Arabidopsis thaliana: one gene and its partner. The protein of the gene in region 1 interacts with the protein of each later gene in a pairwise test. Each region holds a gene or a part of one and is shown on either strand. Other genes may lie near its edges.

The links.
Region 2: the proteins of GSTT1 (region 1) and NET2C interact in a two-hybrid assay, tested with the Arabidopsis thaliana proteins (one large-scale study listed by BioGRID).

What each region holds. Positions count from the first base shown.
Region 1 is NC_003076.8:16,490,566-16,497,157, forward strand, and holds GSTT1 (glutathione S-transferase THETA 1), read right to left. Parts: upstream 3,495-6,592; 5' UTR 3,320-3,494; coding exon 3,252-3,319; intron 3,153-3,251; coding exon 3,079-3,152; intron 2,919-3,078; coding exon 2,858-2,918; intron 2,770-2,857; coding exon 2,716-2,769; intron 2,648-2,715; coding exon 2,568-2,647; intron 2,489-2,567; coding exon 2,283-2,488; intron 2,180-2,282; coding exon 1,985-2,179; 3' UTR 1,710-1,984; downstream 1-1,709. Other genes in the region: AGL75 (AGAMOUS-like 75), read left to right, coding at 1-971; GSTT3 (glutathione S-transferase THETA 3), read right to left, coding at 3,995-5,036, 5,122-5,312, 5,415-5,620, 5,713-5,792, 5,881-5,934, 6,009-6,069, 6,185-6,258, 6,340-6,404. UniProt on the Arabidopsis thaliana protein: In vitro, possesses glutathione S-transferase activity toward 1-chloro-2,4-dinitrobenzene (CDNB) and p-nitrobenzyl chloride (pNBC), and glutathione peroxidase activity toward cumene hydroperoxide and linoleic acid-13-hydroperoxide.
Region 2 is NC_003076.8:3,302,544-3,308,609, reverse strand, and holds NET2C (Kinase interacting (KIP1-like) family protein), read right to left. Parts: upstream 3,324-6,066; 5' UTR 3,193-3,323; coding exon 3,099-3,192; intron 3,024-3,098; coding exon 571-3,023; 3' UTR 501-570; downstream 1-500. Other genes in the region: MSL2 (MSCS-like 2), read left to right, coding at 4,605-4,682, 4,768-4,824, 4,904-5,064, 5,399-5,522, 5,657-5,754, 5,877-5,990. UniProt on the Arabidopsis thaliana protein: Plant-specific actin binding protein. May be part of a membrane-cytoskeletal adapter complex.

The sequences.
Region 1 (6,592 bases):
CTTCGTCCTCTTCTTCTTATTCACTCGCTTTCACAAGTTTGAGCAATAGGCTTGAGACCATCTTCAAGAAAGCTTCAGAGCTTTGCACTCTTTGTGATATCGAAGCCTGCGTTATCTATTACGGACCAGACGGAGAACTTAAGACATGGCCTAAGGAGAAAGAGAAAGTGAGAGACATTGCTCTTAGGTATAGTCTATTGAACGAAGCATTGAGACGCAAGAAAAGCGTTAATCTTCATGGGTTCCTGAACAAGAAGAAGAACAAGGGTTTGAAGAATCCGAACAAGAAGATGAAGACGAGTCTTAAGAACGTGAATATTTTAAAGTATCCACTCGCTGATCATTACCCTCCCGACCAAGTTTCTCCACTGATTCAGTCCTTGGAACTCCATGTCTCTAAATTCCAAGAAAGGCTTCGATTTCTTGAGTCGCAGAAACAGAATCAGACAAAACCGGATCATCAGAGTTTAACACCATCCTCTCTGAATCATTACACCCAATCTTTGAACCCTAGCCAGTTCTCGCTGTTTATGTATAACCATGGAGACAATACTCTGTCTCAGATCCCAGTCTCTGCATCAAATTTCAATCAGGATTATTTCTCAGCGTTACTTGAAGAATCTGAGTTGAAGAATCAGTTAATGAAGCCGGAGATTTGTGGTTATGATCAGAATCAGAACATGAGCATGGGTGACATCACAAACAACAAATTTCAAGATCCTTGCGTCTCAAACAAAGAAGCGGTACAAGAATCTGTCAACAACTTTGGGTTGAATCAATTGATGTACAAGGAGTTTTATGGTTGTGATCAAAACATGTCTATGGGTAACATCAATAGCAACAGCTTTCAAAATCCTTGCGTCTCAAACACACAACATTACTCGGCGGTAGAAGAATCTGTGAAGAACCCCTGGTTGAATCAGTTAATGCAGAATGAACTTTACGGTTACGGTTATGCAGGCTTTTGTTAAATTCTTATGATTTATTAAGAACATCTTGAATCAATTTGATGTGTTGTTGTTGATCTGTATTCAGCTATTGTAATAAATTTGAATCATCATCCCTAGAAACATTAATTACTAAAAGCCAATTTTATCTATTTCTGATTGCTCTCTATCATAATAAAGCCAAATTTCCAATAGACTCTCAACAGAGCAATAACCGTGGCTGAGTTCTGATTCCTCCACTTTGTCTTTGTCTTTTCTATTCACAGATATAACATCCTCTCTTTTCAAACCTGTTTCAGTGATTCTCTGTTCTAAGAAATAATAATCATCGCATGTTTATTAAACGGAACAACATAAGCATTACAGTTTCAGTAAACATGAGAACAGTGTGTGGGGGTGGGGTGGGGGGGGGGGTGGGGGTGGTGTTTGGACACTAATGTTTGCAAGCTTAAAGATAAATTGTGCAGGTGACTCTTCACACTACTGTTATTTTTTGTCTTGTGATGATGATTCCTTCCCTACCATAATGTCTGCACTCTGCAGCAACTTCCCTCTCCTCTTGACCTTTATCTTGTGATAGTCCCTCCCCTTCCATTATGTCAGCTGCAGTTTCCCACCCCTCTTGGCCTCTATCTCCTGATGGTTCCATAAGTTTCCATACTTCCATTATATTTCCACCTTGCTTTCCTTTGAGTTTTAGCAGTGCAGCTACCCACTTTTCTCGACCTTTACCAGCTAAAAACGATCCTAACAGTCTAAGGCCCAAAGGAAGTAAGCCAGTGAGATGGACAGCACAAACTGCGAGCTGGTTCAACTATAATTTACATATAAATCTAAACCTTCATGTTGTGATGTTCAAAATGCTCGGGTTCGGTAAAAACCTTTGATAAAGTGATTATTACATATAGTTCAAAAAACAAGTGATTATTACATTCCTTATTTTTCTTACAATGGAGAATAGGAGATAATCGGCTTTTCTTCAACGAACCAGTGACTGACCCCTGAAACCGGTTTTGCCAAAGTTTTGTTCTAAGTTCTTAGATCTTGGATTGAAGACCCGGTTTAGATAAGGTTCCCATCTCTCGCCGCTTCTGGAATCCTTCTTTGACTTTGAAAAGGATCTCATGGGTCTCATCAAAGTGAGGCATTGTTGCTTTTTTCGTATTCTCAATCCATTGTTCAACTTTCTTATGAGTGCTGAGCAATCTAAGACGATCTTTGTCATCCAAAACCTACAAAATTGCATAAATTTTACAATCAAAAGCCAAAACATAGCAAGGATTGGTATTTCGATGAATTAAAAAAACGCACAAAACAGTGAAATTAAGTGAGTACCTGCAGCTGCATAAGTTCGCATACAAGGCTGAGATCAGCTATAGATGGTTGGTTGCTTCCGAGCAAGAATTTAGCATTGCCCTTAAGCCAAAAAGTCTCTAGAGTGGACAGAGACTTTGTTAGTAACTGCTCAGCTTCAGCAGCTGCTTTCGGATTCAGAGGAAGACCGAGAGCTGGACCTAGTACACTATTCAGAACATATCCAGCTGCAACAGTAAAAACAACCGTAATCAGAACTATTTGACTCTATAACTTCTCAACATCGATGAATATAATGTACAATACCTGCACCACGACGTAAATTGGTGTGATGCCAATCCAAAACTGAGTGAATCTTGGCTCTTTTGGATAGATCATTTGGATACCTAAAAGTAAACAAATGAACATCAAAGCAAAATGATTACACTTTGTGTCAAACGAAGTAGAAACTTACCAATGATCAGCAACACTTGGAAACGCCGAGGATAGATATATCAGGATTGCGTGACTACGAAAAGAATCAACGGTTAAGATTCATAAAAAATGGTCAATAAACCAAAGCAAGAACCCAAAAGAGAATGAACTTTTGTGTTAACCTCTCAAAGAGCTTAAGCCTGCCATCAACAATAGCTGGAACTTTCCCCAATGGGTTAATATCTGAAGAACAAGACACATTTCTTAACAATATTTACATTAAGAAACAACACTAAGCATATATAGCCTTAGTCTACACTAATCTACACTAATGATCTCATATACACTAAACATAAATCTACCAATACTCAGATTTGAAACTTTGTTGATTATTTGTACGAACCTTTGAATTCAGGAGATAATTGTTGACGCTTCGCCAAGGAAATCAAGACCTCATCGAATTGGATTCCATTAACCCTGCAAAGGATAAAATCCAAACAAAACAAAGATTCTCATGTATTAGAGAAAACAAAATTGGCTGAATCTGGAATTAACAAGGAAGTTCAACGAAATTACTTGCAGAATATGATAACAGCACGTGATGGCTGTGACATTCGATCTGCATACACTTTGAGCTTCATCATCTTCTTTTTCGTCTGATTTTGTGGATCACTGAACGGTGGTGATAATATGGACAAGAAGAGAAGTGTCTCTACAGTAGCTTGCTGTTTCTACAGTAGAGAGTAAAACACCGTGCCGTTTTTGTTTCTCTGTTGTGACCAAAGACCTCTCTAAACCGGTTGGTTAGGCTAATTGCTCCTTCTTCACCATCAAAGCAATACAATTACAAGGCAGAACCGGCCCTTAACCAGAACCAGTTGAGACTTGAGATCACAATTTTTTTTGTTTTTCTTTGAAACAGATGCATCATTTTTTGGTTATCTAGAGAACTAAATACCATTAAGTTGAAAATTGTATCATAAAGTTGACGTTAATGAAATAATCAACATTACAAAAAACTTATAATACCAACCTGTTGATTTTCTCAAAGAAACTTTCAAAAGTAATATCAAAAGCATCTCGAAATCTTTGAAACTTAGCATTTGAGTGAGTCTCCATAGACCAAACCAGCCAAAAGCTGATGAAACAATAGGGGCTTTTCTTTCATATGCTCTGATCATTCCTTTTCTTTCCTAACGTTTCATGATGTGAATTGGAAAGTGAAACAAATGTTGAACATAGATAGTGAGATAAACCTAGAGAAAATACAGAGATAAATACAATGAAACATAGCTAAAATACAGAGATGAACATAGAGATTAGAGCATCTCATCAATGAGCTTGTTCTTCAAAATGTCTTCTTTTTCAGAAAGTTGATCAGTTGTTCTTCCAAGAAGACTTTTAAGGACTTCCATCCTTGTTAGTTTCTTTTGCTCTTCTATGTCTTTCTCCTTCAGTGCCCACAAGTTCTCAAGTCTTGATCGGGAATCTGCCTCCCTTTCTTCTTTCTCCTTTAGTGCCCACAAGTTCTCAAGTCTTGATCGAGAATCGGCCGCCTCCCTTTCTTCAATCGTTGGTTTAGGAGCAACTTTATTCTCTTTTTGCTCTAATGACTTCACACCAAGAGGACGATCCATAACTTGCTCCTCTTCATCTAGTACCCACAAGTTCTCAAGTCTTGATCCAGAATCGGCCTCCCTTTCTTCAATCGTTATAATAGTAGCAACTTTCTTCTCTTTCTGCTTCGATGACTTCACACCAAGAGGAAGATCCATGACTTGCTCCTCTTCATCTAGAGCTATAGGCACACTCTCCGGATTAGAGCTTGAAGAATATACACGATCTCCATTATTCAACTTTGTTCTCTTTGAGCTTCCACCACCCTTAGAATTTTCAAAGGGGTACAAACTACACCATTTTTTACTGTGTCGGAGCTCCCTCCATGCATGCTCAAGTGTAAAATTACTCTTGTAATTGTTCGTGTAGACTTGGTATGCAACTTGGAAAACATCATCTTCAGATTGACCACTACTTCTTTGATTCAAAGCTTGATCATAACATCCAACAAATTTGCAGACTTTGTCGTTAAGTTTACTCCATCTTTGCTTGCAGTGACTCGGCTCTCGCTTTGGCAGATTTGCAAGTGAAGCGCTATTGTTAAAATATGCACCAATTCTCTTCCAAAAAGCGCATGCTTTATGTTCATTATCGACAATTGGATCCTTGCTAGTATTTAACCAAGCACTAATAAGAATGGCATCTTCAGCTCGACTCCATTTGCGTCTATGTTTTCTACGATCGGTTGTGTTTTGAACGAGGTTTGGATCATCACTCTTCTCACCAATAGTACTAAATTGGATACTGTATTATGGAAGATCCATGAAATTGGATGAGAAATTAAGTTTTTTCTTCCCCCGATGAAAGTGGTCAAGTTTTTTGTTCTTACATCTTAGATTGAGGACCCGGTTTAGATGCGGTTGCCATCTCTCGCTGCTTCTGACATCTATCTTTGGCTCTGAAAAGGACCTCATGGACCTCATCAAAGTGAGGCATCGTCGCTTTTCTCGTATTCTCAATCCATTGTTCAACATTTTTATGAGGGCTGAGCAATCTAAGACGATCTTTATCATCCAAAACCTATAAAATTACACAAATTTTACAATCAAAAGCCATAACAGAGATAAGAAGGTAACTTTTTTGCTCCACAATGTTTGATAAAGAACATGTTTTTTTTAGTACCTGCAGCTGCGTTAGTTCACATACAAGGCTCAGATCAGCTATAGATGGTTGGTTGCTTCCGAGCAAGAACATGGCATTGCCCTTAAGCCAAAAAGTGTCTAGAGTGGTCAGAGACTTTGTTAGTAACTGCTCAGCTTCAGCAGCTGCTTTCGGATTCAGAGGAAGACCGAGAGCTGGACCTAGTACACTATTCAGAACGTATCCAGCTGAAATAACCAGAAACATGAAACTGATCATTCCTATTTGACTCTACAAACTTCTCAATACCGATATTGTTATGAATATGAAAATGTAATACCTGCACCAGGGCGTAAATTGGTGTGATGCCAATCCAAAACAGAGTGAATTCTGGCCCTTTTGGAAAGATCAGTCGGGTACCTAAAAGTAAACGAACGAATAACAAAGTAAAATGATTACACTTTGCATTTTGCAATCACGAACATGCATGTGTCAAACGAAAACTTACCAATGATCAACTACACTTGGGTATGCTGAGGAAAGATATATCAAGATAGCGTGACTGCGAAAACGGTTAAGATTATTCATAAACAATGGTTTAGATACAAAGGAAGCAACTTTGTGTTAAGAAAAAACCTCTCAGAGAGCTTAAGTTTGCCATCAACAATAGCTGGAACTTTCCCCATTGGGTTAATATCTGAGAAACAAAGACTCAAATCTCACTGTAAAGACCAAATCAAGTTTCAACTTTTATCGAAATCCGAATTCACCCATGTCAAAAAAAAACCTTTTTGCTGATTATTTATACAAACCTTTAAATTCAGGGGATAATTGTTGACGATTCGCCAAGTAAATCAATATCTCATCGAATTGGATTTCATTAACCCTTGAAACAAAAAAAAATTAGAATCAATTTTTTTTTTGTGCTGAATTGCGAATTAACAAGGAAGAAGAAGAAGGAGTTTACTTGCAGAATATGAGGACAGCACGAGATGGCTGTGACATTCGATCCGCATACACTTTGAGCTTCATCTTCTTCTTCCTCCGATTTTGTGTATCGGAAAAAGTTTTCTCTGAACGAACGGCGATAATCTGGCGAAGAAGACAAGTAGTGATCTCACAGAACCAAATTAGATTGCTGTTTCCACAATAGAGAGTAAAACATCTAAACCGGCCGGTTGGGCTAAATGCTCCTTCACCATCAAATTAATGAAGTAACA
Region 2 (6,066 bases), about 13 Mb from region 1:
TAAAGTAATTCACAAGCTTAACCAACATTATTCTAAGTATATATTTTCTTTTTGACATTTGAGGCCTAATCACAAGAAACTGAAAAGTAAAAAAAAAATCAGATGCAAAGTAGAATTTGTCTTGACGTTTGGTGCATTACTTTGTTTTGAAGTCACTGTTTGTAAACATTTGCAATATATATTATTTAGGCAATTGAAAATATTACCGTAATTTGAACTTTGTTTAACAAATTCAATAGTCCAATACTAACGGGGATATGTAATTTTTTTTACAATATGATTGGATTCTCATAGGTTTTGCAATCGTCGTACAACAAATAAGATATAGGCCTTTAAGTGAGAGGATCCAGCAAGAAGATCAAAATCCCAACTCAAAAGCCCATGTCTTGTCTTTGCTTTAGACCAATCTCTTTGGAGCAAAACATGCTTATTCCTAGATTTAGCCTTATATTGATGTTTACGTTTGTGCATAAAACAAGAAAGACGATCCCATGCAAATAAGAAAAGATTTAAATCCATTAACACAATTGATATGTAGTAGTAGTACATGGAAAGATATGTAAAAGTTTTCTATGAACCAGCAGGCTTCTTCATCTTAGACAATGAAGGTTGAATACAAGAGAAAAGGGATAGTCTTTGCTTCTTCGGTTTTCTATCGAAGATAAATGACCTCAAAGGAATACGAGAACGATCTTGCGAAGACTGTGTGTTTGATTCAGAAAGTGAAAACTCCTCACTTAGTTTCTCGAGTGTTGTATCAGCATCCTTCATCAGTTTTGTAACTTGATCTAAACCTGTTTGCAACTCTTCTGCAATCCTATTGTTTTCCTTCTTCATGTTTGAAACCTCGCCTTCGAATTTGGCTCCTTGGTAGATTGTAAATTTTATTTCAGAGTCTTCAGAATCTGTTTTGAGAGCTTCTGTTATCTCATTGTGTATGTCACTCAAAGTTGAAGCTCTGATGTTGATTTCTTCTTTTAAAAGCAAACTCTTCTCTAACCAAACAGTCATTTCGGTGCGAATCTCGCTGAGGTGTTTGTATATGGGACGAACATTTGATCTCAGAGTGTTTTTTCCTCCATCTTGATTCTTTTGTTTTATGATCTTCAACATCTCACCATGTAAGTCTTTGATCCCTGTGTCAAACTGTTGTATTTTGCCAAAAGAGTTGCTAAACCTCACCAATAAGTTCAAGTTCTCGCTTAGTAATGCATCAACTCGTGCTCCCAATTGCTCTTCATTTGGTGACATCCTCTGTTTTTGACCAGTTATTGCATTTGTGGCGTTATTATCTTCTCTGCAAATTAGCATGAACAATTGGCCCCGTTGTTGATCCTTGCCTTCATCTTTCAAGGTGTTTACATTTTTCAGTTTAGTTTCAGTTTCATGTAGCAACTTCTTCACTTCTTTATAGTTCCGAAGTACTTTGGTGTATTCAGTTAACAAATGTTTTTCTCTGCCTTCGATCCCATGTGCGAGCAACTTCTGCAAGAATAACTCATCTGATGACTCTTGTGTTGTTATGATGTCTGATTTTGGTGATGAGATGTGTTTCTCTAAATCAGATAACGAAGCTTCCTTTGTTTTAGTTTCAATAGCCTCTTCTTGGTTAACTTCATCGGAAAGATCCTTTTCAGCAAAAACCACCTCAGATGCTGATTTAATGTCTAAAGCATTTTCAGACACAACGGTATCATCAATGTTTTCCTCTGGAAACTTTGTATCAGTCAAAGATCCTATATCTTGAATTGGCACATTAGTAGCCTTTAATTCTTCATCTTCCCCTTCTTGCGTCAAGCTTTTTAATCTCTTGGATAAGAAACTTAGTTTCATATGTGCTCTCGTAAGATGTTTATCAATGTTGTCACTCTTTTCTTCAACTTCTTGGTCTATATCTTTAACACCATTCACCTTTTCCTCCATCTCTTTCAACTTCTTTCCCATGTCCATATTGTCATCAGTTTGAGATGAATTGTTTTCTTTTTGTAGAGCTCTAATCTGTGCTTTGAGATCATCGATTTCTTCTCTTAGTCTGTGTATTAAAGCTGCTTGAGATGAGAACAAATTCTCCAAATTGATCACATCATTCACAAGCTCATCGATTTTATCAGCCACGTCTGGAATAGTAAGACATGACTTAGCCTCAGAGTCATCAAACTCATCATTTACCTTTTCTCCTAATGACTCCAACTTCTCTTTCTCGCTGTATATCTCATGGTTTCCTTTCCCATCACCAAGCAATGCATCAGAAAGATTACCAAATTCCTCTGTTGATTCACTGATTTGTTTTCTTGAAACATCTACTTCTTTCACATTTTGTTCCTGTTTATCTCTCAGCTCTTCTAGTTTCTCTTGGCATGATTTGAGAGCTGTGGTAGACATCAATATCTGAGCTTCTTTATCTTCTATAACAACAGCACCTTCGTCAAACTCGTCTTGCAAACTAGAAACTTTCCCTTGTTTCTCCATGATACATTTCTCAATCTCCCAATACTTTGCAAGTCCATTCTCATAAGAAGTCTTCACAAACTCTTTCTCAGTTTGCAAAACAAGAATCTCTTTCTGCAACTTGTCAATCTCTTCCACCGCCTCGGTTTTACTCAGCCCGGACTTGTTAACAACGGACGAGGCATTCTGTTCTTGAATAGCTTTCCTTGACATGAACATCTTCTTGGCAGCCTCAGGGTCTTTTATGGGCAAATCAGGAACTTTTGGAACATTCTTATTTGATGTCTTATTTTTATGGTGTCTAGGTGAGACAGGAGCATCATCGTCGTCATCTTCGTTCATGGCAAACTCAGGGACTTGGTCAGGAAAAACAGATGCAATTGTGGTGTTGGCGTTTTGAAGCTCTTTAGAGATATGATCATACCGCTCTGCTAAAGCACGATAAGCCTTGAAAGATTCTTCTACAAAACTTATCAATTCAGGCCTTCTCTTGTAATACATTTCTGCACGCTTAGCAAATGAATCACCTTCATCTTCCAAAAGCTTAAGTGCATATTCCACCTTCTCCTCGATATCTACATAAACATTTTATCAAAAATATGTGGAAGAAGTGAAAAATGATGATAATATGGAATGTAAAAATATGTAACCTTGAAGGTTTTCTTCAAGCCATTTGGATTGTTTGGTTCGAACGTGGCTTGCCCACCACCAGGAGTACGCATTGCTCGCAGCTCTTCGTAGCATCTTTATTCTCTAATCTTTTTCTTGAAAAAAATTTCAATCAATTGAACAAAATCTCATCTTTTTCTGGAGGTTTCGTTCATGACAACCAAAGGAGATGTGTTTTTTTTCTCTCGTTATTATTGTTGTTAATCTTGTTGATAGAGAATGGCGTAGAGAAAGATTCGGTGATACATAGTATTAATGATAAGTTGCTATTTAAAACACATGCAACATTGGATCTGAATAATAGTCCAAAGCATAATGCTGGTTGATTGATGATACATTGATACTCGTACTAATTAAACGGTAACGGAAACAAACTAGTCTCGTCCTCTTTTTTTTTTGGCTTCTATTTTAAGATTAGATTGTGAGATCATAGTTGGTCCTGAAATCACCATGGACAGTGCAAAAACAAATAGACATTCCATTAAGAAGATATTTCTAAGATATGTACATTATATTTGATAGTTGGTCCTGATTCCTGAAATCACCATGGACTTGTTCTTTGTTTTTCTTTCTATATTCGTTCCTATGAGGATGATTTTGTAAATAAATATGCCCAAGCATCAATTTTTTATACGAATCTATTAGCCGCAACAAGTCTGACGTGTCGAAATACGTGGCAATTTGTTCACCACTTTCCACTTTACACGGAACGTTTCTCAATACGAAACGGCATCGTTTCTTGTGTCTGCTAAATGCGAATCCCCTTGTTCGTCCTGTCTTCGAAGAATCTCCCTGAAGAAGACTTCAAACCCTAGAATTTTGTTTGTTCCCTCGATTTTTGATTCACTGGGTAAGTATTTTATACCCTTAATATGTTTATGGTTCTTTACCGAGTTTCGATTGTAAACTCCGATTTTTGAATTCGGGTTTCGTCTGGTTTTCATGAGGAATTTTAACTTTGTAAGTTTTGATGTTGGATGTTTCCTCGAGATGAGATTAGGTTAAAATTAGCTGTTTTAAGTTGAGTTAAGTTGGGATTGTGATCGAGAATTTTAATCCAAGTTGTAGATTTTAGGTTACTCTCTGGTAATGAATATGGCACGCCGACGAAATTGAATGGTCTTGTGTTTTCGTAAGCTCTAGTTCGTTCTCAGTTCAGTAGCAGATTTTGTTGATTGCTAAGAATCTTAAGGATCACACTGCCATAGGTTATAATTGCTTCAACTATTCTCACAGTTTTGTGAATGAGAGATTTGGAAGTTTAAGAAATGCAAATTTTACTACTTTTTGTTCCACCCACCGAAGCTAGACTTTCAATGGTCTACTGTTTGCTGTATCTGAATCATACACACAGGTTTTAACTGGTCTGCTTCATTTCTACGGTGCAGAGTTTGTGTTGGCATTCATTAGTCTCTTTCCGTTAGGCTGTGAGGCTTATGATCGGTGCCACTAACGTTACTGGCTAAGTCATTGAATCTGATTAAAATATGGCCCTTTATGGTACATTGCAGTTGTCTCATAGTCTGGGTTTGTGCAGAAACCAACGGTTTTGTAATCCAGAAAATGTATGTTTCTTCCATTTTAGCCCTGACATCCTTTTCTTTTAATCATTTCTTCCCTTCATCTTTCGAAAAATGTACAATTTTTCAGAGTGCCATGAGAAGGAGGCTGCATATATCAAATGGTCCTCTCTCATTAGGTGTTCCGGTAATATTTCAAACAAAATTTACTCTAGCCTTTCAAATTCGGTTGCTGATAGTTAGTAACATTACTTTTCTGCTTATAGTTGGGACAACATGGTTTCAGCAACATATTACTCTCAAATTACCTTCGTAGGCCTATTTGTTCAGTTCCATGCAGAACCACCGCTTTTAGGTGTCATTCCTTTTCTGCAAGCGGCAAGGCAATTGAACCTGCTGTTAAAGCTGTCACCGTGGTGCTAACAAAGTAAGACTCCTTGTTTCCTATCATCACATGCAGAATGACCACCTTGTAAAATTGGAAACTATCATTATTTTTATTTAGTTGATCTTCATGGATCTGAATGATTGCATAGTAATATTTGGGCATCTAACTCAAAATGAATGAATTAACTCTACTCATAAACATTGTGGACTTGAGCCAAACATTGATGTATGCAGGCCTTGTCATTACCATGGCTCCCCTTAGGGAAGTTGTAATTTTTTTGGTGGGGAAATCTGAGGGGGTGCATTTATGTTTCTCGTAATTTCTCTTCTTTTTTTATTGCACTCTGTAATTATTTGCATTCCGTTTTTTGCAGGTCACACGGGTTGATGCAACAATTCCCTTTTGTATATAAATTGGTTCCAGCTGTTGCTCTTCTTGTTTTCTCCCTGTGGGGTCTAGTGCCTTTTGCTCGCCAAGGAAGAAACATACTACTCAATGTAGGTGCAGCCATTTCAAGTTTATATGCACTTTTTTTTTGTTTACTGCTTTCATTTCTGTGTTGTCTCAGTTCAAATCAATGTGGTATCTTTTCTATATGAGATTCTGAATCTTTACCTTTGAATCATTGTAGAAGAATGATAACGGTTGGAAGAAGAGTGGTACGTACCATGTTATGACTTCATATGTTCAACCTCTGTTACTATGGTTAGGAGCTCTATTCATCTGCAGGTATATCTATCAAGTAGTTCCTCGGGACTTTCTGAGATTTAATTGTTGAGATATTTTGGTGGTATCCTCATCTGAAGTGCTTGGTTGAGATAATTGATTGCTGGTGACTATTCCTTATATAGGGCATTAGATCCTGTTGTCCTTCCTACAGAAGCTAGCAAAATTGTGAAGGATCGACTGTTGAATTTTGTGAGGTCATTGTCAACGGTACTTGCATTTGCTTACTGCTTATCCAGGTAAGAGTATTGTCTAATTTAAATACAAGACTTCGTCTTCATCTTATGTTTCTGTATTTTAGTGGCTTCTATCACG